Sus scrofa: one gene and its partners. The protein of the gene in region 1 interacts with the protein of each later gene in a biochemical or structural test. Links are inferred from orthologs where the notes say so. Each region holds a gene or a part of one and is shown in the gene's direction. Other genes may lie near its edges.

Region 1 (10,669 bases):
GAGAGTTTCTTGTGAATGGTGGGTTGGAAGGGCAATAGCAAAGCCAAGAGTGCACAGAGCAGGTAACTTCATTGAATCTGAGCAGAGAACTGAAGAGGGCTTTGTTGGAAATGTAAAGGCACTCATGCTTTACCCTCATCTAGGAAGAGAAGTAAAATCCCAGAGTGTAAGGACTGATCTGATTCTTGACCTTTTATTTAGTTCTTCCAAAGCCCTTGAATGCCCCAAACGTAATTGACACTGGACATAACTTTGCTGTCATCAACATCAGCTCTGAGCCTTACTTTGGGGATGGACCAATCAAATCCAAGAAGCTTCTATACAAACCTGTTAATCATTATGAGGCTTGGCGGCATATTCAAGGTAAGATTTGGAAAGGAATGGCACCAGCTGCAGGTGGGGCACCAAGAAAAAAATTTTTTCCCCTAATATAGAAATCTTCTCTCCCAAGGTAGGGGCTGTAGTGGTGGATTTCAGAGTATTCAGGAGAGAGTGGGGAGGTCCTCTGAGCTCTGGGGCTACCTTTCTGGAAGGGATGACATAATATGGACACAGAGCCATCCTGTGTTAGCAGTTGCTATCTACATTAATATTTCCTTTCCAGGCTTCCCTGGCTCTCCAATCATGGTCTTACTCTATCTTGCTTGGTCATGGTGAAAGATACACATTTATGTCATGAATATGGCAAAAGGAAGGAAAGTCCAAAGTCTTCTGGAAAGGCAGAGACTTAATCTGCTTACATCTGAGAGGTGATTGTTGCTACTGTATCAGGTTGTTTATTCTTTTCCTCATTTGAGTCTTGCCCTGCCTTCAAGCTCTTAACTTAGAGATTGTAAGAGGAATTTGGGCCTGAAAGTTTGGGCTGTGGCAGACTGAACTGAGGGAGAGGGAGGAGAAGGTATAGGCAAACAGAGTTACATGCTCCTCCCTTAACTTTTTGGAAGGAAAAAACCCAAATGTGATAAAATGTCAGAAGTTCATGAAAATAGTTAAATTTATTTATTTGTTAGTTAAATTTATTTTGAAACATAAATTACAGTTCTATTTCTTAAATGATGATATAAAAATCACAGTTTTTAAAAAGAAAGCTGAGTACCATCAGTTGGCCATCCTGAGTTAATTATGCCATCTTGTAGTGAGATCTACACTGTCATGCTTGTAGGGAACAGGTATCCTTTCACCAGGACTTTAGTCTCACTGTGCCTGCGATTTCTTATAAAGGACCCCTTTCACACGAGATGCAGACAATCAAGGAAGTTACAAAAAAGAAGAAAAGGAGGGGATTGGGCTTAATAACACTAGCTGACCTGGGTACATTGAATAAAGTCATAGTATTATTACTGAGTTCTTCATTTTCTTTTGAAGACTCAGCTAAAATTCAGAATTTCAGCAACATTAAGCCTGAATTGCTGGATTGCTGTTTCCAACATCAATGGCTAGGTGTTTTTTAAAAGCAGATTTAAAAAAATATAGTGCACATTATTTCTTTGTGGACATCCACAAAAGTGGTCTTCTAAGAACTATTAAACATAGCCCAATACTTTTTCTTACCAGCTGGGAATTTATCTTATGGTAAGGCAAAAATATGCATCTGTATATTTTTAATATCTGACATTAAATAATCACACAAACAGATTCTGGAAAAACAGAATCTAGCAAAGCAAATAGCTAAGGAGAAAAGAAGCATGGGATCTATTTTCAAGGACTTCAGAACCCTTAATTTGTTATGACATGACTATTTCAAATTTCTTGTCTGGTCATTGCAAGCAAACTTTTAAAGGAGTCTCGTCTCGTGAGATTGCAATCACTGTGTGTACTTCTTGAAAGTAGAAGTTAAATTCTATTATTTTAATTGAATTTTCCCCCCTTAATCTGATGGGTATTCTATATAGTTGAAGATTGTGTGGTTTTACTCTACAACTGAAAAGACAAAAACACTAGTAGAAATGTATAAATGCCACAGTGATACTTACATGAAAAGCCTTATTTTCCTTATGTTAGGAACACTGAGGTCCCTGAGGATGGATTTGTCTCTCTGTTTCACTCAGACGTTGTATTTTTAAAACCAAACATTCATTCACATCACAATAACAACATTCCAGTTTAAAGAATGTAAAATATTGCCAACTTAAGTTTCCTGGACTTTCTCTCTTCTCAGTGACAAGTGAGATTGTTACCCTCAACTATTTGGAACCTCGAACAGAATATGAGCTCTGCGTGCAGCTGATCCGGCGTGGAGAGGGCGGAGAAGGGCATCCTGGACCCGTAAGGCAGTTCACAACAGCTTCTATCGGTCAGTTGAAGCAAACAGGCATTTATTCAGGAGCTGGGTGGGTGGGGGAGGAAGGGGAAAGAGGAAGGAAGACCAGGAAGGGTGGTGGTGGGTGAGTGGGTGGGTTGGGATTGTGGTGGAAGGAGTTGGCTTTTGAATGGGTGGGAAAGTGACAGGAAAGCTAGCAACTGGGAGCCAAACTGGTCCTTTATTTGGGCTGTACTCCTTGTCTGTCTCCCTGGAGGGAGGGGATCTGCAGCAATCCACAGGGACAGAGAAGGAAGCAGATGAGCCTTCAGGAAGTCCAGGACATCCCTTAGGATTTGGGATTAACTTAGTAGCAAACCGTTCTCAATCTTGCTTGGCTCCTGACTCTTACCACCAGCTTCCTGTTTCCATCTCAATGGCCCAGGCCAGGCTCTTGTCCATATGTATTTCAGAAATCCCAGTTTATTTATTTTAAAAAATAATTTCTAGTTTTTCAAAGTAATTCACACACATAGTGAAAACATCAAATAGAAATGAAAGGCTTTTACCTAAAGAATACATGTCCTCTGCTTTATTCCTCCACCTCCCTATCTGCTTCCTCGAGGCAGCTGCTTTTACCTCCTTGAGCCGTTTAATATATACTTCCATGTTTCTAAATCAGTGGTTCTCAAACATTAGTGTCCATCAGAATTGCCTGCATCACCTGTTAAAACTGGATTTTTGGCCCCAACTCCAGAGCTTTAGATTCAGTAGATTTATAGTAAGGGTGGGGGCTCAAGAATCTGCATTTCTAATAAGTTCCCAAGATATGCTTGACGCTGCTGGTCCTGGGTCAACACATTCTAAGTAATATATGTAGCAATATTTCTTGATGGATCAATGTTAATCAATAGCTATTTGTCTTCTACCGTGTTACTCAATGAGCCTTTGAATGTGTGAAATTTCCTTAGCGCTGACTTGGCTCCAGCTTTCTACTACCAGGGTCCCCTCCTCTGAAACACTTGGATCCCTTGTAAATTTCTTTTTGGTGTTCTGGTGTTCACTGTATATAACCATTCTGTTACTGTCTCCTTGAAACTTTATAGTTTGAAGTTCATGTCTATTTAATTCTTAGAATTATCATCATCCCCATTTTATAGATTGAAAAGTAGAGTCACAAGTACTTAATGGATCAGGTGCATCACCATACTAGATCTTCCCACTTGATATTATTGTTTCTCCATTTATTATATTTACCTGGGAGCTCAAAGCCACCATATCCTTATCTGAATTGATGAATTTTCCTATTTTTAGTCCATTTACTAAAGGCAGAAGGAAATGGAGTGATTTAGTGAGAAACTAGGAAGAGTATCAAGCTCTTCCTCAGGAGCTCTGCATCCCTAACAGAGACTCTCCCCTCCATACCCTCCACCTAGTGTTCATCTCACCAGTAGCATCTTTAAAGAGCCAAATAAAACTCAGAAGCTCCTCTGATGCTTCTAGAAGCATTGCACAAGTAAAAAAGGGCTTCCTGGAAACCCACCAGGTAGTAAATACAAAGAATAACACTAGAAACTGAATATGAGAGGATAAAGGAATCTGCATGACTATCATCCAAGTTGCTGCTAAAAGGCAAATGGTAGTTAATTCTCTCTTAGATCAGTGCTGATGAATCAAAAGGGGAAGGCTATAATCTGACTCAGCTGGAAAGTATTTATGGAACAGAACATAAAACACTTCACAGACCCACGGTGTGCTCTCTTCAGCCCTCGGAATATGTTCCAACCAGGATGTGTTTAGAGGTCTCTTGGAGTATTTCAAAGTAGTTCTCAGAGGTGGGTGGGAAGGGAATTCTTGAAGGTTCATCTTTTCCCATCATTTGAATTTTGCTGATGTTTGTTTTTAAATTCACTTGGCAGCTGCACAACAGTATAAGTGTGTTGATTGAGTGGTAAAGGCCAGGGAGGCCAGGAGAGGAGGGAAGAGAACACACTCTGAACACATGGCAGAAAGAGGGCAGGTAGGGAAGGGAGAAGGGAAAGTCATGTTCCCAAAATGAAGGAAGAAGGGAAATTATCATTTGGGGGGTTACTCCTCTGTACCAGGCACAGGCTTATAAGGTTCACACAATTGCTCCAAACCATCAACTCTCCATTCTGCTGTGCCATTGTAAGCCTGTCTACCAATTCCAGGTGGCCTATTTTGGAAATTAAACTTTCGAGAAGAGCAAAAGGAAGTGATACCACCTCTCTCAATTTGCAAAGGTTATGGACAAAAGACCAGTAAGACATTTAGCATAATTCCAGGCTGGTGGCAGGACCTGACTTCTGGTTCTCCTTGGTCTCAGAGCATCCAGAACTGGCCAGTGAGATGGGTAGAAACAGATCCTTCCACTCACTTCTAACCAAGTTCCTTTTCATTTTTAAATTATCACCCCAAAGAGATTTTTTAGATATTTTATCTTTAAGAAGAAATCTTCTGACATGAATTGTAATAATCAAAGATCTGTGTATATACTGCAGCTCTTCAAAAAACACTATACTACCTAAAATTTTCTCACACCCCAAGAACCAGTTTTTGCCCCATTAGTGGCAATAATATCCCTCCTGAGAATGCATGAGTAGAGGGTCCTTAGTCTATGTTTTGAAAATACTTTATATCTGGAGTTTAAAATACCAATGTACTATTATTAGTTGAAAACTTATAGATTCCTCCACTGTCCACTGACACAAGATAAAACAGCTTAGGAAGGAAGGAGTAAGGAAGGTAGGAAGGAAGGAAGGAATGGAGAAGGGAGGAAATTCAGCATTTCCTAGAAAATGCCTGGAAGACATTAAAGTCCCTAACCCCTTCCAGGCAATTTCACCTGCCTTATCTCATTTCTCCTTCTGAGTCTAGAAGTTGAGTATTTTCATTTCATGTTACATGTAAATTGGAGAGGTTATAAAAATTTCCCAAGGTCACAAAACTAAAGGGGCATGCTCCTGCATCTTTGATTTCAAAACCTATATTGTTTCCATTCAGTTACCTCTCTGGTAGCCCAGGTTCTTGTGGATACTTATGGCCAGACAGCATGTGGTCATAGCCAAACCTTAATGTGAGCAGTTCTAGGCCTGACCCTGCCATCATAGTGTTATAATATCTGCCATTGTTCTTGCTAAGGGGAAGTAACTGAAATTACTTTAAAATGTATTGCACAAAATGGGAACAGAAACACCAAATATTCACTTACAAGCCCACAACCGTGATGAATCCAGTGTTTCTATTTTTTATCAGTTTCTTTCTTATTTCACCAATTGTAGACATGATTTTTACAAAGTTTCAGAATTTTTTCTCATGTCTTATAATTTTTCGAGGGAGGGGCTTCTGTACTTTTCCCAATTATCTATCCCAATCCCTTGGATGGCTACATCATAGTTTATTAAAGTGTTTCCTTATTTTGAGCACTTAGGTTTCTTATGATTGTTTGTTATTATAAATAATGTTGTAATGGATATCTTCATGCACTTACCCTTTTTCTCTTCCTTTAGGTTATTTCTTCTGGATAAATCCCTGGTAGTCAGATTACATGGCTGAAGTATAGAGTCATTTCTAGGGCTCTTGAAAAATATTTCCAACTTACCTTTCAAAGGGGTTGTATTCCTCTATTACAGTTACTCAAACTACATACTAGAATATTTTAAAGCTTTGCTGTTTTGGTAGGAAAAAAATTATTATATGGCAGCTAGCACGTATTTTTTTGATAGCTTGTGAAATGTATATTATTCTAGAAGCCAAGGTTATTCTATAAAGCTGTCCTTTCGGATTGTTATCTACATAAAAATAATGATCTTTCTGGTTTCTCCTAGGTCTTCCTCCTCCAAGAGGTCTCAGTCTCCTACCAAAAAGTCAGACCACTCTAAATTTGACCTGGCAACCAATATTTCCAAGCTCGGAAGATGACTTTTATGTTGAAGTTGAGAGGAGGTCTGTACAAGTGAATAGTGATCAGCAGAATATTAAAGTGCCAGGCAACTTGACTTCAGTGTTACTGAACAATTTACACCCTAGGGAAAAGTACATTGTCCGAGCCAGAGTCAACACCAAGGCCCAGGGGGAGTGGAGTGAAGATCTCGTCGCTTGGACCCTTAGTGACAGTGAGTAACTCTTGCTGTCCCAGCTTTGCCTGAATGACAGGTGGCTGCTGCCATTTGGACTTAGCTCTCATCACTTCAAGAGTGTTTCTTAGAAATCATAAAAGGCAGTTGTGAATAGAGGCCCATTAATGCCTCCCCCACCAACACATCAAATCATTTTAGTGACCTACAATATATACGGAAGTTCCACGAATTTGGGTTTATAATTCATGCAGGACTGGGTAAAAATTACCTTTCCTTTCTTTTTTAAGTTAGAGTATAGTGGTTTCCATAGAGTTATTTATTAAATAAATGAATAGCATGAATAAAGTTTTCTAGGGCTTGTTGAATGTGTTATAGGACTGTTTTCAGGATTGTCACGTATCTATATGCACAAAGATGATGATTAATTAGAGAGGTCTTAAAACGGCTATCTAATTATTTTTAAAAAGCCTATTTAATTATCTCAAAAAATCTTAAAAGCCAAAGAACTTTGAAAAATCTTCAAAACAGACAATTCTTGGAGTAACAATCTATATTGGAGATTAATAAAACAATGTTTCTTTCAAAACATTCTTCAGTTCAGGCATTTTAAAAAAATTTCATATTGTTCATTAAAAGTTAGTTGGAACTACTTGGGTTTCTATGTAGCATTGAAAGCTTTTTCATCCTGAACCGGAGAGATCTATTTTTTTTTTTTTGTTTTTTTTTGTCTTTTTAGAGCTGCATCTGTGGCATGTGGATGTTGCCAGGCTAGGGGTCAAATCAGAGCAGTAGCTGCTGGCCTACACTACAGCCATAGCAACATGGGATCTGAGCTGCATCTGCAACCTACACCACAGCTCAGGGTAAGGCCAGATCCTTAACCCACTGAGTGAGGCCAGGGATCGAACCCACATCCTCATGTATACTGCTTGGGTTCCTTAACCGCTGAGCTACAACAGGAACTCTGAGAGCTCTATTTTATTCACTGCATTAGAACCATGTCTATGCATTTGGGAGTCCTTGGAAAAACTAGGTATTTCTGGGTCACACCAGTATCACATCTGCTGGGATCCTGCTCTCTTGTCAGTCTCCAAAGTCTGAGATTCTCTCGGCAGCTGGGACTCCAATTCCCCAGGAACAGGTGTGCAGCTGGCTTAGTGTTTCTCCAGCCACTCTCTTCTTGATCAATAATATGTGGAAGTCTCAAGTGTTTAGGGATGACTTCATCATTTTTAAAAAATCCTGAATTGGCCCAACATTGTAAATCATGGCTTGGATCTGGTATTTCTGTTGCTGTGGTGTAGGCTGGCAGCTGCAGCTCTGATCGACTCCTAACCTGGGAAAAAAAAAAAAAAATGGTAAAAAAACATAATAACCTGAGCGATGGTAATATATCTTAAATAAAATATTGCCTGTTTGTCTTACAATTTCTAGTTCTCCCTCCTCAACCAGAAAACATCAAGATTTCCAATGTCACAGACTCCTCGGCCGTGATCTCTTGGACAATCTTGGATGGCTATTCCATTTCTTCTGTCATCATCCGTTACAAGGTACAGGGCAAAAATGAAGACCAGCACATTGATGTGAAGATCAAGAATGCCACCATTACCCAGTATCAGCTCAAGGGTCTAGAGCCTGAAACAGCTTACCAGGTGGACATCTTTGCAGAGAACAACATAGGGTCAAGCAATCCAACCTCTTCTCTTGAACTGATGACTCTTTCTGAATCTCAAGGTTGGTAGAGTGGACAGATGTTAACATAGAATTATTTCTGGAGATTATCAGAAAAGCCTCATTGTTTTAAGATATTTATCCCATATTAGTATCATGTGACATAATCAGCTTATCCTAATAGATGTCACCATCTCTAGAGATGTCCTTGAAATGAAAATATCCCTTGGAGGGATACTCTGCTGATCCATTTTCTATCATTAAACTGTAGATGAGTCTAGCCCATCAGAACTCCCCATCCAGCAGTTGAAGCTCTGAGGGATCTGAATTTGATCCTGTGGAGAAAGAAGAATGTGGAACCTGCTTAGTGGAGGCAGGTCTGCAAGGTGCTTTAGTGGGAGATGCCAGGAACCAAGCTCCATTCTTTCTCAATATGAACTTGTTTTTTAGCTTAGATGACACTGTGATATCCTGAGTTTTCTTTTACTTTTCAGATCCAGGTCATGATGTCTCCACATCCACCACCAACCCCCACCCCAGGGAGAATTAGCTCTTTGAGGTGGAGATTCCTCAAAGTGCCAAGCACCTTGCACTGGGCCAAATGTTTGTGATTTTTAAAAACTGAAATATAGTTGATGTACAATATTATTAGTTTCAGGTATCTACTTAGTGATTTGACATTTGCGTATATTATGAAATGATTACTACTAGTAATCATCTTTCTCCACACAAAGTTATTACAATATTATTGACCATATTCCTTATGTTGTATATTATGTCCCAGGGGTTTATTTATTTCATAACTGGAGGGCTGTACCTCTTAGACTCCTCTAGCAGTTGGGCTTGATAAAACCTGTTGAATATAATTAGAGAACAAGGATGCTGGGATAGCTCCTATCCTTCGAGATCTGTCTGAAATTGTACCGCTTGGCCCTCTGCACTGTACAGCTTATACAGGGGAATGGAGACAGAGAAACATTAGAGGGAAACAGTGATTTTTGCAAATTTTTAATTCAGACCAGGGCATTTTTACAGGAAATCTTATAGCACTAAAAATTCCTTGGTCCTCTTGAAGGATATGTAGGGCTTACAAATTAAAATCGAATTAACTCTGTTTTCAATACTAATTCTTTGGAACATTTTTGAAATGTCTGAGAAATGTCTGTCAATTATAGAGAATCATAGGTTTCAGATGACATTCTTAATAAATGCATCATTTCTATAGTTACTTATGTTTTGGTAAACTTATACAAGTCCTAAATACAAGCTCTTAATAAAATACAAAGAGAAAAATTAAAAAATAAGACGTAACAAAACTAAAAAACCCTCACCATTCTATTTCAGACATCTCTTTATTGATCCCATGTCTGGGATCATTGCTGTACATGCTGTTTTTCATAAAAATAATTGAATTTAATTTTATTTGAATTTAAAAAGGGGAAAGAAGTGGAAGGATTATACCACTGTCTTTAATAGTTGATTTAACTGAGTCCTAAATTTAATGATTTTTCTATTCTTTCTCTTCTTTCCTTCCTTCTCCCAATGAGATTCTCAGTTTTTATCCATCAGCTCTTTAAAACAGGAAAAAAGCAAAACAAAATATCCTACAGACTCTATGCTTTTAGTAGCATAAACTTTAAAGCTTTTCTAGGTAGAGAAATTGTTCAGGAAGGTTTAGTCACTTTCCCAAAATCATAGATGTAGTTAGTCATTCTCACTGTTATTTGGTAATATTCTTCTGCTTGGGCCTCTACTTGGAAGTGAAAGTTGAACAAGGAACAACAAATGATTAGCATGTTGCCATTTGAAAAGCCCCTTTGCACATTTCCTTGAACTTATAACAGCCCTATGAATCTGACTCATCTTCACTGACTTCCTAAAAATGAATGAGTAGCCCACAGTCACCTAGCCGTTAGGTGGCAGGGCTCAGGCTGCCATTACATTGCCATTACACTGTGACTTCTCCTGCAGATAGTCTTGGCCTGTCTCTCTACCTAGACTAACCTTCTGCTTCTCCCATGTTCTCCTGCACAGCACCAGCAGACCTTGGAGGTGGGAAGATGCTACTTATAGCCATCCTTGGCTCAGCGGGAATGACCTGCCTGACAGTGCTCTTGGCCTTTCTGATCATGTTGCAGTTGAAGAGGGCAAATGTCCAAAGGAGAATGGCCCAAGCCTTCCAAAATGTGGTAGTGTCTCATCTTCCTAGTAGCTACTAAATGCAAGTCCGCATATTTGCTGTATCTTCATTTTAAAGATGTGGGCCAGAAAATTTACTTGTAAAGCAGATACTTCGCTTAGGCAAGTTTCATCTTTTCTTTGTCTTTCATTATGAAGTGGGAGACAACTAGCATGACTATAATACAATTTCTTGTCCAAATTGGAACAATTCTGAGAGTGAAGAAGTTACTCTTAACAATTATGCAGGAGGAGTTCCTGTCATGGCCCAGCAGTTAACGAACCTGACTAGGATCCATGAGGATGCAGGTTCGATCCCTGACCTCGCTCACTTAAGGATCTGGCATTGCCATTAGCTGTGGTGTAAGTTGCAGACATGGCTTGGATCTGGCATTGCTGTGGCTCTGGTGTAGGTTGGCAGCTGTAGCTCCGATTGGACCCCTAGCCTGAGAACCTCCACGTACCGCAGGTGTGACCCTAA
Region 2 (10,669 bases), on another chromosome or scaffold:
GGGTTTTCCCAATTACAACCCGTTCCCCTACCAGCATCCTTGCCCCGTGCTCTCTCTCGAGGTTATCTCCTGAGAGTAGACTGCTAGGTCAAAGGACAAGCATATTTGGGAATCTGATAATGGCTACATCCCACTCCACCTTTTTCCTCCCCTGGACCCCAGTCTATTCTACTCCAGGTCTCTCTTTCCTCCCCTCCTCACTCTGTTCTATCTGTGGGCACGGACTTCCGGGCTGTGTCACCCTGGACAGGACGCTCCACCTCTCTGAGCCTCAGGGCAAGTCTGTACCGCGAGTCCCCCGGATCCAGAGGGAGGAAGCGCGCGAGTGTAACTGCACGGTGGGGGCGGCGGGTTCACCCTTGTGCGCCCCCGCCCCGCAGCGCGCTGGAGACGCGGGTGCTGGCCCTGGAGACGCAGCAGCAGGAGGAGCTGGCCAGCCTTCGCGGCGAGAAGGAGCGGTTGCGGCGCCTGCTGGGCCGCCAGAGCGGCGCCCTCGCCGGCCTCGAGCGCAGCCTGCGCGCGGCCAGCAGCAACTCCAGCCTCCTGCAGCGCCAGCAGCGCCAGCTGCTGGAGTCCGTGCAGCGCCTGGTGCGCGTCGTGACCCAGGGCCCTGGTGAGCGATGGGGGCGCCTGGATGCGAGGAGGGCTGGAGGGGGAGGGGACCCCTCGTTCCCTCTCGTCCTGGAAGCCACCGCGGGAAAGACCCCTGATCTGCCCTCCACACACATACCCCCCTAAGAAACAAATAATAAAGAGTAATGATATGGGAGTTCCCTTTGTGGCGTAGGGGAAGCAATCCGACTAGTAATCGTGAGGATGAGGGTTCGATCCCTGGCCTTGCTCAGTGGGTAGGAGGATCTGACATTGCCATGAGCTGTGGTGTAGGTCGCTGGGGCGGCTTGGATCCCGTGGCTGTGGCTGTGGCCTAGGCCGGCAGCTATAGTTCTAATTCGACCCCTAGCCTGGGAACTTCCATACCACATGGGTGTGGCACTAAAAAGCAAATAGAAAGGGGGAAAAAAAAAAAAGTAGTAAAACTAGAGACAACAGTCCTGAAAGGAACCAATCCAGAGACTCTTCTCCCTGAGTCCATGAGGGACCTTGAGCCCCTGCTCCTCTCTTGGCCTCTGTTCAGCCATCTGTTTGATGGAAGTGGTGATAATAAGGACACCACCAGCCCAGACTGACAAGTTAAGGTTCCAGGAGGCTCCCTCTACCCCCACTAGGCTTGATGGCTGGGGGGGGGGGGGGGCCTCCGCCCCACCTCAATTTCCCTATCTATAGAGTGGACCCTCCAAGGACTTCTCTCACCCTGACACCCCCGCCCCTAAGCCCAAGAAGGCCAAACAGATGTGGGGAGGTGCCTCTGGCCCAAGCTTCTGAGAAAGGAGGACGATGGCTGGGCCCTAGTCCCCTCTTCTGATGGGACTAACTCCAGGTGACCAAGGCATTCCCAGTTCCAGCTTCAGTCACTCCATCCACAAGCACTTACTGGGCACCCACCATGAGCCAGGCCCAGGGCTGGGTGCTGGGACTACGGCAGTGAACAGCGGAACTGTGGCCTCTGTCTCCACCCAACACCCAACAGTGGGTCTCCAAGGAAAGGAGGAAGGAATGCTTACTCGCTGAGCACCTACTATGTGCCAGATGCCCTGCTAACAGTATTCCTGAAGTTTCCAGACCATGGAAAGCCTAAAAGCCTGGCCGCAGGATAGGAAACTTTAAGCTGAGGGCAGTGAAGAGCCACCGCAGGGTTTTGAACAGAGGGGGACCAAGTTTGAGGAACCCGGGAGGGGAAAATGGCTTGAGGAGAAAGACAAAGAAAGGTTTCCTTCTGCGACTAGGTCACCAGAAGGGGGAGACTGGAAATCCTTTAAGGCTCAAGGAATCAAACAACAGCGATGGGTTCCAGGCTCTATGTCTGGCAGAGATTTGGGGACAAAAGGTGGCACCATGGCTCCACCTAAGTCGGGTAGGCCCCACCAGGGAGGGGTCTCAGGCCTGAGGTAGCCACAGGCAAAGGGGGTGGGCGCCTTCCAAACCAGGAGATTAGGAGTGACGGGAACCCATCCCTGGCTTGTGCAGAGCCTCAGCAGTGCGGCTGCCTAAATTAATCCCGTGTCACGCGGCCTGGGCCTGACCCCTTCCCCACAGGTTCACCGCTGACCCAACCACCAGCTGTGACCCGGTGTGTGCTCCCCAGGCTCACCAGGGAGGTGGTGATGGGCACCTCAGGCACCCTTTGCCCAAACATCTGTCCTCCTGTCCCACTGTGTCCAGGGAAGAGGCCCTAGGAGTCATTTCTCCCTCCTGTCTAGATGGAAAAACTGGAAGAGAATTAGTCGGCAGGTGTAGAACAGAAGATCAGAGGAGTTCCCGTTGTGGAGCAGTGGAAACTAATCCAGCTAGTATCCACAGGGATGCAGGTTCAAATCCTACTTCATTCAGTGGGTCAAGGATCTGGTGTTGCCATGAGCTGTAGTGTAGGTCGCAGATGCAGCTCGGATCCCAAGATGCTGTGGCTGTGGCTCTGATTTGACCCCTAGCCTAGGAACGTCCATATGCTGTGGGTGTGGCCCTAAAAAGAAAAAAAAAAAAATTGAACAGAGACGGGCACAGAAAACGGGCATCCATGAAGGCCAGCGGGAAGCCTGCACCCCTCTCTGCATGGCTTTGTCCTAGGCAGGCGGAGGCGGACAAGGGGTGGAGAACTCGGGGCCTTCTAAATGTTAGAAGGGTGGGGACCCAGGTAGAAAAGACCTCTCCAATGCACAGTGTCCGAAGCAGCATGGAGTGACGAGGTCTCTTTGTCCAGCCTTACAGCCACTCCGTGGCGGTGACCCAAGGGGAGGCGGGTCATAGGAAAGGCACTGGCTCTCCAGTCAGATGGAGCAGGGTTCGAGCTCTGGCTCCCTCGCTGACTAGCACCCGCGCTTTGCACGCATTTAACGTCTTAGAGTCTCAATTTTCCTTCCCTATAATATGGGCCTAATAATGGCACCTGTCTCACAGAGTTCTTGCACAGGATCAAATGAGTTCAAGCACGCAAAGGGGCTGAGCACAGGGCCTAGGGCCAAAAGGAGGTGAAGCTGGTTCAAAGATTCAGGGCTCCAGGCTGGGGCCAGACTATGTTGCATGTCCATACTGGTCCATCCTTGCTCTTATGCTCCCTGAAATATTTTTCCTGGCTCCAAACTGCCCATGGCCGTCACTGGCCAAGAAACACTACAATCCATGGTGGGTATGTCACTTTTGTTGTCATTACTGTTGGTGAGACTATTGTCATTGACTAAGGACAACTGTAGTGGACAGGACCTAGGCAAGAGTGCCTGGAACTCTGAGGCCAGCTCCTAGCTCTGCCCTAGGCCTGTCCCAGCCCACCTCCAGGCCAGCACCCTACCAGGCTTAGCTGGACTCCTGTTCCCCAGGGCCCAGGGTGGCTGACAGGTAAGGCTGTGGAGACCCTGCCCAGGGAAAGTTGGTGCACAGACTCGGGTGGATTGGGGCCTTGGTCCCTTCATTTGTCGTCTGGGAACAGCAGTCTCCTTTTAACAGGGCCCCAGCTCCAGGACTCAGAATCCAAGTTCAAGTATGAGGCCAAAAGACCCCTTGGTAGCTTCCTGGTTCTCCGCTGATGCAGATATGTATCCATCTGGAACTCCAACCCTATCCTCGGATACCCACCTACCCAGAGATAGGATTCTGGTGGAATCATAGCCCAAGCTCTCACTGGATCCCATGAAAAGAGCCAGAGAAGGGATGGGAAACTTCTATTGTTTATTTACCAAGAGTCTTTTTTCAGGCTGGGCCTGGAGGCCCTTGGGGCCCTGGTGGGATTCAGCCATTAAATTAATATTCTCCTGAGGTAAGATGCTTCGGCACTTGAGGCCAGCAGTCAGTCAGCTCCCAGGGCGGGCCTAGTGAGGGGGCCCACCTTCAGGGCTGCAAGGCTCTCTGGCTGAAGGAGTAGGCTGTGGAGGGCACTCTGGCCCATAAGACCTGGGGAGAGGGAAAGCCCTGCCCACCTCCTCCTGCCCCACCAGCTCTGTGCCCTTGAGCACTCTTGGGCCTCAGCTTCCTGGCCTGTCAAATGGACCTCAGTAGAGCTCAAGCCCCAGTTACCTGTCCTAGAAGATTCCAGAAGTTTATCTCTGGCTTCCTTGCTCTGAGTCTCATCCACTTTGGTGGCTGTTCTACACTTTGGCCAGAGCGCTCTTCCTCAGCACAGACTGGACTCCTCAGCCTGGCATTCAAGGCCAAACTCTCAGCTCATCTCTCTTCCTTGACCTCCTCTGTGCCAGCCTCACCCCATTCCTCTCAGGTCCATCAAACGGCCGGAGCGCCCTCTGGCCTCCGCTCTGCCATCAGGGTGTGAGTCATCTCCCGTCCATGGCCTCCGTCAGCTCCCCTCGCCACGTTCCCTGCACCCGCCAGGACTGTTCCCACCGTGGAGCCTGAGCATATGCTGTTCCCTGTGCCTGGGACCCTCGCCCCTTCTCGTGCGGGCGCCTCCTGCTCCTTGTCCAGGTCCCAGCTCACCGTCAGCTCCTCTAGGAAACCTTCCAGGTCCAATACATCTCCCTGTCCCCAGCACCTCCCAGCCCAAAACCTGACACAGAGCAGGCTGGAGTGACCCCTGATGCCTTCCCACTCGCCTTAGCTCACTTCCAGTTGTTTTTACCTTGTCCCACTGCAGCCTCCATGAGGGCAGCTGAGCAGGTGTTCCAAGACTGTGCAGAGATCCAGCGCTTCGGGGCCAATGCCAGCGGCATCTACACCATCCATGTGGCCAACGTGACAGAGCCCAGAAAGGTCAGGGGGCTCCCTGGGGGCCAAGGCCATAAGAGGGTGCCGAGCCAAAGGCTGCTCAGACAACCCTCCAACCCTACCCCCACTTCAGCTTCAGGCCTTGTCCAACATCTGAGATTCTGGAGAAGGTGGGTGTGACCCTACCTTCTGGAGCCCCAACCCATTCAGGTGTCAGATCATGCAGTTAAAGCAGAAGGTCCCAAAGCTGGTGACACATCCTTCTCCAGCATCTTTTCCAAGGATGCCTTATTTTATTTATTTATTTATTTATTTTTAGTCTTTTTGTCTTTTAGGGCCATACCAGCGGCATATGGAGGTTCCCAGGCTAGGGGTCGAATCAGAGCTATAGCCTCTGGCCTACACCACAGCCACAGCAGCGCGGGTTCTGAGCCACATCTGCAACCCACACCACAACTCACGGCAATGCCAGATCCTTAACCCACTGAGTAAGGCCAGGGATCGAACCCGCGTCCTCATGGATGCTAGTCCAGTTCCTTAACCACTGAGCCATGACGGGAACTCTCAGGGATGCCTTTAAGTTGGAATAGCAGGAAACGGTTCTCTGTCGGTTCAGGTAAATGCTAGCTGATATAACCAACAAACCTTTAAGAATTTCAGTTCCACAAAGAACTTAACTTTGGGCTTAACACAAAGAAGTTTATTTCTAATTTACATACAGTCCAGTTGAAGGCAGGTATGGGTGCAAATTGGGGATGGGGGCTGATAGAGGCCCCACCACCTTCAATGAGTGGCTCCCAAGGTTGCCCTGAACTTTGAGGTTCAATTATCATATGGGAGGATGGTCAAGGGAAATTGTGGATGTCAGGATGGGAAATTGGGGGGCCAGGCCCAGAGGTAGAAGAGTTTGGGGAACAACTAGCCAGTTTCCCCACTTTATATTCCCTTGTCAGTTTTCTTTGGACCCTACTGAATCTATCAAGGAGAGCAGCGCAGAGTGTCTTTAACAGTTCTCATACACCTGCTAAACCCCCCTTTTAATAAAAAGAGATCGGGCCTTCAATTTCTAGCCAGAATATTGCAACACTCTTTTGTCTTCATTGTATGTATTTTTACAATTATCTGAATAAAGGTGAGTTTACTAATTTTCCCTTTTAGGGTATTGATGAGATTTCCTTTTAAAACACATTTGATCTGAGTATTTAAGCTTTTAAAAAGACACCATTGGCGTTCCCGTCATGGCTCAGTTGTTAACGAATCCAACTAGGAACCATGAGGTTGCGGGTTCAATCCCTGGCCTTGCTCAGTGGGTTAAAGATCCGGCGTTGCCGTGAGCTGTGGTGTAGGTCACAGATCCCACGTTGCTGTAGCTGTGGTGTAGACTGGCAGCTGTAGCTTTGATTAGACGCCTAGCCTGAGAACCTCCATATGCCACGAGAGCAGCCCTGGAAAAGGCAAAAAGACAAAAAAAAAAAAAAAAGACACCATTTTATGAATTTTATATGAAGTTAAGTAAATTCAGCTGTAGTGGAAATTCAGAAGGCGTGAATAGCTAAAATTTGGAAACTCTGATAGAGAGGGAAGAGGTGGCCTAGGAAGTAAGAGATCAGGGCTCAAACTTCAGCTTCAATTTTGACCCATTTGCCTTGAGCAAGTCCTTTCCCCTCTCTGGGCCTCAGTTTCCCTTCCTGCCACCTCTGCTACCCTCACAAGAGATGTCACTGTCTTCTCTCCCTGAGTAGGCCTTTATCCTTTCAGAGTCCCTACGCCTGCTGCTCCCTCCACTGGAAATGCCATTTCCGTTCATCTCTATCTGGCAGGTACATCATCCAAGGCCTTGTTCCAGTGCCACCTCCCCCGAGAAGACTTCTGGGGTTGCCCCATGACTCTTTGGGGGAACTCTCCTTATTGCTGCCCAAATATTCATATTCAGTAGTCTTCCAGCCCTATCAGACCTAGCCCTGTCAGTCTGCTAGCTTACTCCAGACCAAGCCAGCTCTGGGGGTTCATTTATCTCTGATTTGTCTCTGATTCATCTAGTACAGGGCCAGGTACCAAGTGTGCCCTCCCAGAACACTGTGATGGAAAAATCGTATGTGAGCAAAAGTTAAACTGAAAGATGTGATTGTGATGGATGGGAAGCTCTTTGAGAGATAGAACTCTTTGTAGCATCCATGTTGGCATCTCCTGTGCCTTGAATGGAGCCTGGCGTGTAGTAAGTGCTCAGAAAACATTTGTCCACTGAAGGTAATAACATTTCCTAAACTCCACTGTGTGCCAAGCGCTTTATACACCTTGGCATTTATGTCTCACAGCAACCTTGCAGTAACAGTGAATGAAAAGTTTCCATTTGCTTGGTTCCTAGTATGTGCCAGGCTCTGTTCTTTAGTGGGTGACTCATTTAATTCTCACAACGATCCCAGTTTTCAGATGAGAAACTGAGGCACAAAGAGGTTAAGGTATTAATATCCTCAATTTGAAAATGAGAGAAGGGGAGTTCCCGTCACGGCTCAGCAGAAACGAATCTGACTAGGAACCATGAGGACACGGGTTCGATCCCTGGTCTCACTCAGCAGGTTTAAGGATCCGGCATTGCCATGAGCTCTGGTGTAGGTCACAGACGCGGCTAGGATCTGGCGGTGCTGTGGCTGCGGTGTAGGCCGGCAGCTACAGCTCCGATTCGACCTCTAGCCTGAGAACCTCCATATGCCACAGGTGCGGCCCTAAAATTTAAAAACAAAAAAGACCAAAAAAAAAAAAAAAATGAGGAAAGGAAGGCTCCAAGACGCCATCACTTGCCCAGCACTTTAGAGAAATGAAGACAAGAATAGGGAGTTTGGACCTGGTTCTTTCTGATGCTCTTGACAGCCTGGCTGGCCCGCCGCTCTGTGAGGTTCTGTCAATCAAGTCACCCTCAGGCTGGACCAGACCTGGCATCTGGCTACCTCCTAGGGCTTCCAGCTTCCCCTCCCCATTTCCCTCCAGGTGTTCTGTGACCTGGAGGCCAACGGAGGTGGGTGGACCCTCATCCAGCGCCGCGAGAATGGCAGCGTGAATTTCCAACGCAACTGGAAGGATTACAAACAGGTAACACTGCTGCCCTGGGGAGAAGCTTTTTAGCCCCGAAATCTGGGGCAGGAAGGGGGCTATGGGCAAGGGTTTTTAAAGGCTACAGGAAAGGAAACAGAAAAAAGTCATCTCTGCTGCCGACCCCTGCCTGCCTTGCTTAAATGAAGGTCTTTGTCTTAGCAATGTAGGAGACACTGCAGGAGAGATTTTTTTTTTTTATGCAAAATTGCTGGCTCAAAGACCCCATGCATTTTACAAGACAAGGAATAGTGTCGGATTGCCTTCCAATTTTTTTAATTAAATTTTGAATAAAGAATTTTTGGCAAGCTGACTCAAAAGCTCTTAAAGTTTTCAAGAACGAAAGGAATAGAAAAAGATACTTGCACAGATACATGACAATACTATTTTTGTGTGTCTGCTTGCTGTTCATTTGATAAATATTAAAAAATAAATACCAAAGGAAGCTATGTGTTCTTAAACCCAAGATTCTTTAATCTCAATTGATTTAAAGAATCATTAAAATGACAACAAGAAATAGGGTGCTCAGAGACAGAAATACACCAAAGAGTGCTGAATAGTAACCATTGGACTGATAGGTAGTGCAGCATGACCAAAATGGGGAGTGGGGCTTTGGCGTGCCTTGTCCTTGGTGCTGAATCATTGTTCCGGCCAGGGGCATTGGTTTCTTGCCACTCTGGGACACTGATGGCAAGAAACCCAACGCTCCTAGCTTTCCACTTCTATGTCACTGAAACTTTGCAGTGGCTGCCATGTCACTGATCAAAGTTTGCTCTACCATTTATGCAGCCAATTTGAGTTTTTATTTTTTAATTGAGATTTAATATGCACTCGGCTAAGTGCACAAATCTTAAGTGTAAGATTCAGTGAATTTCCACATATGCATTCACCCACCTGACCATCATTCAAAGCTAGGTATACAGCACTTCCTGCACCCCAGAAGCCCTCCTCATGTCCCCTCCAGGTCTGTACTCCCCCCAAAGCAGTTGCTATTCTCATGTCTATCACCACAGGTTTTTGCCTGCTCTTGAACTTCATAGAAATGTACTTTCAGTTATTTTTACATTTTAACAAGTTTTTACATTTACAAAGGTCTTAGTCTTTTTGCTCTAGGAGGTAGGGAGCTCCCATCCCCAGGCCTGCCTGGACTATACTTTATCAACTCGGTCATTAAGCAAAGTGGTTTCGGGTAAGTGTCCCCAGAGCCTGGCCCAGCCCATTCTCACAATGGGCGTAACCAGAGGCATAACCCGCATCCTTGGCATGCAGCCCACCCCTCTTCTCCCCTTCCCTAGGGCTTCGGCAACCCAGCCGGGGAGCATTGGCTGGGCAACGAGGTGGTGCACCAGCTCACCAGCAGGGCAGCCTATTCTCTGCGTGTGGAGCTCCAAGATTGGGAAGGCAATGAAGCCTATGCCCAGTATGAGCATTTCCAGCTGGGCAGCGAGGGGCAGCTGTACAGGTGGGCTTGGGGCCCAGGCTGGTGGGTGGGCTGGAGGCCCTGGGCTAGTGGCTACAGCATCTGCACCAGGGGTCAGTCCCTGGGCGTCTCCTGATCCCGCCATCTGTCCCCCATTTGGGCGCACGTCATGGGATCTGGAGGCGGCTGGTTAGCACTCAGCACATCCCGGCCACTGGTGGGGTGGAGAGAATGTCCCTGATGCTGCCCTCCTAAGAGCAGGAAAGGGCCTTCCAAGGTCAGTCACCCCAAGTCGGTCATTTAACAGAGGCCCAGAAGCAGGGTGGTGATCTTCCCAGCCTGTCCTGTGCGGTGGCATGAGGCGGAACAGTCTCGAGGCTAGGAATCGGGGGGTTGGGTTCGTTCTGGCTCTGCTCAAGTTCACTTTGGGAACTTGGGCGAGTCAAGTAGCCTTCTCTGGACCTCTGCTTTTTAACTACAGGATGGGCTTAAAGCATATTTTAGAATCAAGGTCTCCCACCCCTCCCTCAGCCTGGTTCTTGGCTCCATTCAGGAAAAGGAATGAGCATTTTATTGAGCACCTACTATGTTCCAGGCACACAATTCCATTTAATCCTCCCCACCGCCTTCTTAGGTAAGCATTGTTTTAGCGATGTGGAAACTGAGACACAAGGAGTTCCCCTTGTGGTGCAGCGGAAATGAATCCAATAGTATCCATGAGGATGTGGGTTTGATCCCCGGCCTCTCTCAGTAGGTGGGGGATCTGGCATTGCCATGAGCTGTGGTATAAGTTGCAGACGCAGCTCAGATCCCATGTTGCTGTGGCCGTGGCATAGGCTGGCAGCTATAGCTCCAATTCAGTCCCTAGCCTGGGAACTTCCATATGCCACTAGTGCAGCCCTAAAAAGGAAAAAAAAGAAAAAGACAAAGAAACCAAGACACAGAGCTTTTGTCCCCTGCCTAAAGTTACAGGTTAGGCAGGCCCTGGTTTTGAAACTCAAGGATCTTGAACATAAGCTATCCTGGAATCAGGCCAGAACTGAGTAGATGCAAGCTCCAGGGCCACAAAGATACCACACGTCATCTGGTTCTTCATATGATGCTAGACTCCCTTCCACAGCCATAATCATCACCCAGCCACGGCTGGAATGCCTCCACTAATGGGGAGGTCACGTCCTCCCAAATCATCTCTGATGACTCTCTGCCCCCTTGCACTACAAGCCTGATTCCACCTCTGAGGGCTTCTCAGTGCTGTGCCCCTAACCCCTCCCTTCTATGAAATGCCCCAGGGAGCTGGTTCTTACATCCCTCCTATAGAACCGAACCCAATCGGATAATGTCCCTCCTCCAAGTGCAGGGTCCAGAGCTGAATGAAGCATCCCCTGGCCTGGGCTA
Region 3 (3,500 bases), on another chromosome or scaffold:
AGAGGATTTGAGGAGACTACGATGGGGTTCCATCCACACAGACCCAGGGGGTGTAACCGTTTTCTGACTCTGTGCAGCATCCCTGCCCCCTTCCACTATAGCAACCCAGAGGCCCTGCTGTAGGGAGAGGAAAATATGCAGCTCTGGGACAACGCAAGTCCAGGCCATGGCTGGAAACATTATGATTTATGTGCCTTTTACACACACGCAGTAAAAACAACTCATTTACACAGCAGGGAACAACAATTTTTGAAACCTCAGTTTTTTCACCCCTAAAATATATGGTCCGGATTAAGTTACCTCTGGAGTCCCTTCCAGACTTCAGCCTCTGTAATTCATAACCTGAGCGAGTCAGATAGATGTGGATTTAAATTCCAACCCTGTCAATGTGTGCCTCTTAGCAAGTTGTTTACCCTGGGTGAGGCCTCAGCTTCCTAATGGGTGACGTGACGTGACACTCCTAGTTTTTAAGAGGGAACTACAGAGATGCAGCAGCCAGCACAGGGCATGGGGCTTACTCTCCATCAATGGCTGGGAGCTGTGACCATTCTGAGCTGCCCCTAAAGGCTGCGAGAAAAGCTCTCAGCACCCAGGCCTGCCCTGTTCCATCCAATTCCAGAAGAGAATGTTTACTAGATCAATCTTGGGGCAGATCTCTTCCAGAGAGGCCCAAATATTTCTACTTCTTTTCTGAAGAATTCCTCAGGTTTTTGTACAAGATAGTGCAAGATATCAGAAACTTCAGGGTGTGGTTTTGCTAGTTAGAGACATTATTGTTTCCTTCCCTAAACTGCAAAGGACACCTGACTCCTAATGTTTATCTGTTTGCTGTTTAATCACTCACTCACCAGGGTCTTAGAGCTGAAGCATAACATTTAAATCAAGCATTATCTGCTGAAAGACATCAAGCTCTAGAGCAAAATATGAGGTCCCTGAGCCAAGCCAGGGTGTGCTACTCAAAAACCCTAACTGCCCTCAGGGTTGCATTACTGGAGCACTGAGGTCTTGAGCATTATCTGAGGATTTATGCTCTTCCCACCCTGCTGTAATCTACTTCATTTTCATCAGTGCCTTGTGGCTACATGGATAACTCCATCCCAACACCATCTTTATCTATCTAACCATAATACTTCAGTTTTTATAAACGCTCTGCTCTTTTCCCACAATCTAGGCAAAGAAATTTTAAGAATCTGTTCTCCTGATCCTATCATTGCCTCTCAAAGGCTAGAGAACATTATGGCTGGACAATTCAAGCCTTAGTAGTTCATGCTGGGATCACTTTTAGCTCTGATTCTCTAGGATTTTAGCTCACAAATGCAGTATTGTCACATTTAAGACCACTTGGCCAACATGATCTCCATTATTCCCCCCAAAGACCAGGGAAGACAATAAAACAAGAATATTCCTAATTTGTTTTGAATCATATTTACTACCTTGTAGGCTATAGGGAAATTTATCTTAACTTTCTGGAAAACTTCTTCGATCTATTATAATCTCATTATTTAAAACTATTTGCATAATCTTATTTTTCAGGGGTTTTTAATTTCATAATAAAACTCCAGCTGAGTTGAAATTGAGCATGCATACTCTTAACCCAAGAAATAATTCCGTGTCCTGAAGAAGTTTAAACCCATCACGCCAGTTTAAAAGCAGAACTCAAAAGAGCTGAAAGGGAAATACCATGGGCAGTGAGCAAAGTGCAGAGAAGCCTGAAGGCAGGGCCTGTGGGCTGGGGCTACCAGGATGCCCTCAGGTCCCACATGTCACTCTGGGTACAGGAGAGCCTTCTGCCTCTTTTTTTTTCTTTTTCTTTTCTTTTTAGGGTCACACCCATGGCATACATATGGAGGTTCCCAGGCTAGGGGTCCAATCAGAGCTGCAGCTGCCGGCCTATACCACAGCCACAGCAATGCAGGATCCGAGCTTTGTCTGTGCCAACACCACAGCTCACAGCAACGCCAGATCCTTAACCCACCGAGCAAGGCCAGGGGTTGAACCTGCAACCTCATGGTTTCTAGCTGGATTCATTTCTGCTGTGCCACGACGGGAACTCCTAGGAGAGCCTTCTGCCTCTTGTTCTGAGGGATGAACCAGGCCACCCAACTCTGACCACACACGGAGGAAGCCTAACAGCCCCACAGCTTTGCAGGGTTTTGGAAACCCCACAATGCAAGTCTCCCTTTTACCCAACTCTCTGCAGAGGTGAAAAGGACTGGTTACCAACACAAAGGTTTTCATGGCTGAGAGCATGAGTCCATGGATTTCCACAGGGTAGAGATAAGAGGTTTGGGGCCAGCCTGCCAACATGTCCCCTTCACAACAAATCTCTAAGGAACAGTGATCTCTGGGTCAGCTGTCGGCAGGGGCGACAGATGATGATAAGGTCCTATTTTCATCAACACATCCTGTTACATGACTGTTTGTTTTGCATCCTCAATTTAAATTCATGGTTTTCAATTTCTTAAAAATCCTCTGCTGCTTGGAAGATTTACCCCAGAGAACCCCATCAGCCCTGGTCTTACTAAAAGTATCTCTGTCCATCTTGCTTCTGTTATTTAAGACAAGATCCAAGTCATGGAGCTCACCAGGCAGTAACCATGCATTCCTGTTGTAGGCTTACTGCGACATGGAAACGGGTGGAGGTGGATGGACAGTTATTCAGCGACGTGAAGATGGAAGTGTTGATTTTCAGAGGACTTGGAAAGAATATAAAATGGTATGAATATTCTTTAAACCATCTGAAAATAATTTCCTTTGTGAAAACTAACTTTGAGAATGTGCACAATCTTTGCCACAAATCCACAACTAACCAGTGACTTTCGACCATTTTTTTTTTTATTTTAACCGAAAGGTTCTTGGTGTTTCAGTCTCCCTGTTAAAGAAAAGTCCTGTAAATGCAATGTAAACTATATATCAAAACAAAGGCATGCAAATGAGAGGCTTATTTTTAACGGCAGGCTTAGCATTTTGGGGGTAAACTGCTTGTTTCATAGTGTTTCACACATCTAGAAACAGAGCTGTCTATGCTTATGTTTCCACTGGTGGGTGGTGCCCTGAGCTGCTCTAATTACCCTAGTTTTCTTCTAGTAACAACTTAGTTCCTTAAAACTGACCTTTAGAACATCTTTCTTATATGGAAGACCCCAAATATTCACAGTACAGGAAGGAATTCCTGCTGAATATCTGATGTTGTTCCGTGCTAAATTGATGGACTACTGCTTTCAAATATGTGAAGAGAAAAGTAAGTAAAGTCAGTGACTTTCCCAAATCGGATTCCAGGGCTTTGGGAGTCCCTCAGGCGAACACTGGCTGGGAAATGAGTTTGTGTCACAAGTGACCAATCAGAAACGCTACGTGCTTAAGATACACCTGAGAGACTGGGAAGGCAACGAGGCTTACTCACTGTATGAACACTTCTATCTCTCCAGTGAAGAATTCAATTACAGGTAAGGAAATTATACATTATTTAGAAAAGGTAAGGGAGGTGCTGGTGATCGTTC

The links.
Region 2: the proteins of TEK (region 1) and ANGPT4 form a complex in vitro, tested with the Homo sapiens proteins (2 studies listed by BioGRID and IntAct). The link is inferred for Sus scrofa from reciprocal best matches to the Homo sapiens genes TEK and ANGPT4.
Region 3: the proteins of TEK (region 1) and ANGPT2 form a complex in vitro, tested with the Homo sapiens proteins (7 studies listed by BioGRID and IntAct, with this or other methods). The link is inferred for Sus scrofa from reciprocal best matches to the Homo sapiens genes TEK and ANGPT2.

The regions. Positions count from the first base shown.
Region 1 is NC_010443.5:195,957,154-195,967,822, reverse strand, and holds part of TEK (angiopoietin-1 receptor), read left to right. Parts: intron 1-201; coding exon 202-363; intron 364-2,158; coding exon 2,159-2,293; intron 2,294-6,087; coding exon 6,088-6,375; intron 6,376-7,773; coding exon 7,774-8,073; intron 8,074-10,044; coding exon 10,045-10,199; intron 10,200-10,669. UniProt on the Homo sapiens protein: Tyrosine-protein kinase that acts as a cell-surface receptor for ANGPT1, ANGPT2 and ANGPT4 and regulates angiogenesis, endothelial cell survival, proliferation, migration, adhesion and cell spreading, reorganization of the actin cytoskeleton, but also maintenance of vascular quiescence.
Region 2 is NC_010459.5:34,376,063-34,386,731, forward strand, and holds part of ANGPT4 (angiopoietin-4), read left to right. Parts: intron 1-380; coding exon 381-613; intron 614-4,696; coding exon 4,697-4,812; intron 4,813-7,752; coding exon 7,753-7,854; intron 7,855-9,149; coding exon 9,150-9,316; intron 9,317-10,669. UniProt on the Homo sapiens protein: Binds to TEK/TIE2, modulating ANGPT1 signaling. Can induce tyrosine phosphorylation of TEK/TIE2. Promotes endothelial cell survival, migration and angiogenesis.
Region 3 is NC_010457.5:37,552,426-37,555,925, reverse strand, and holds part of ANGPT2 (angiopoietin-2), read left to right. Parts: intron 1-2,614; coding exon 2,615-2,716; intron 2,717-3,279; coding exon 3,280-3,446; intron 3,447-3,500. UniProt on the Homo sapiens protein: Binds to TEK/TIE2, competing for the ANGPT1 binding site, and modulating ANGPT1 signaling. Can induce tyrosine phosphorylation of TEK/TIE2 in the absence of ANGPT1.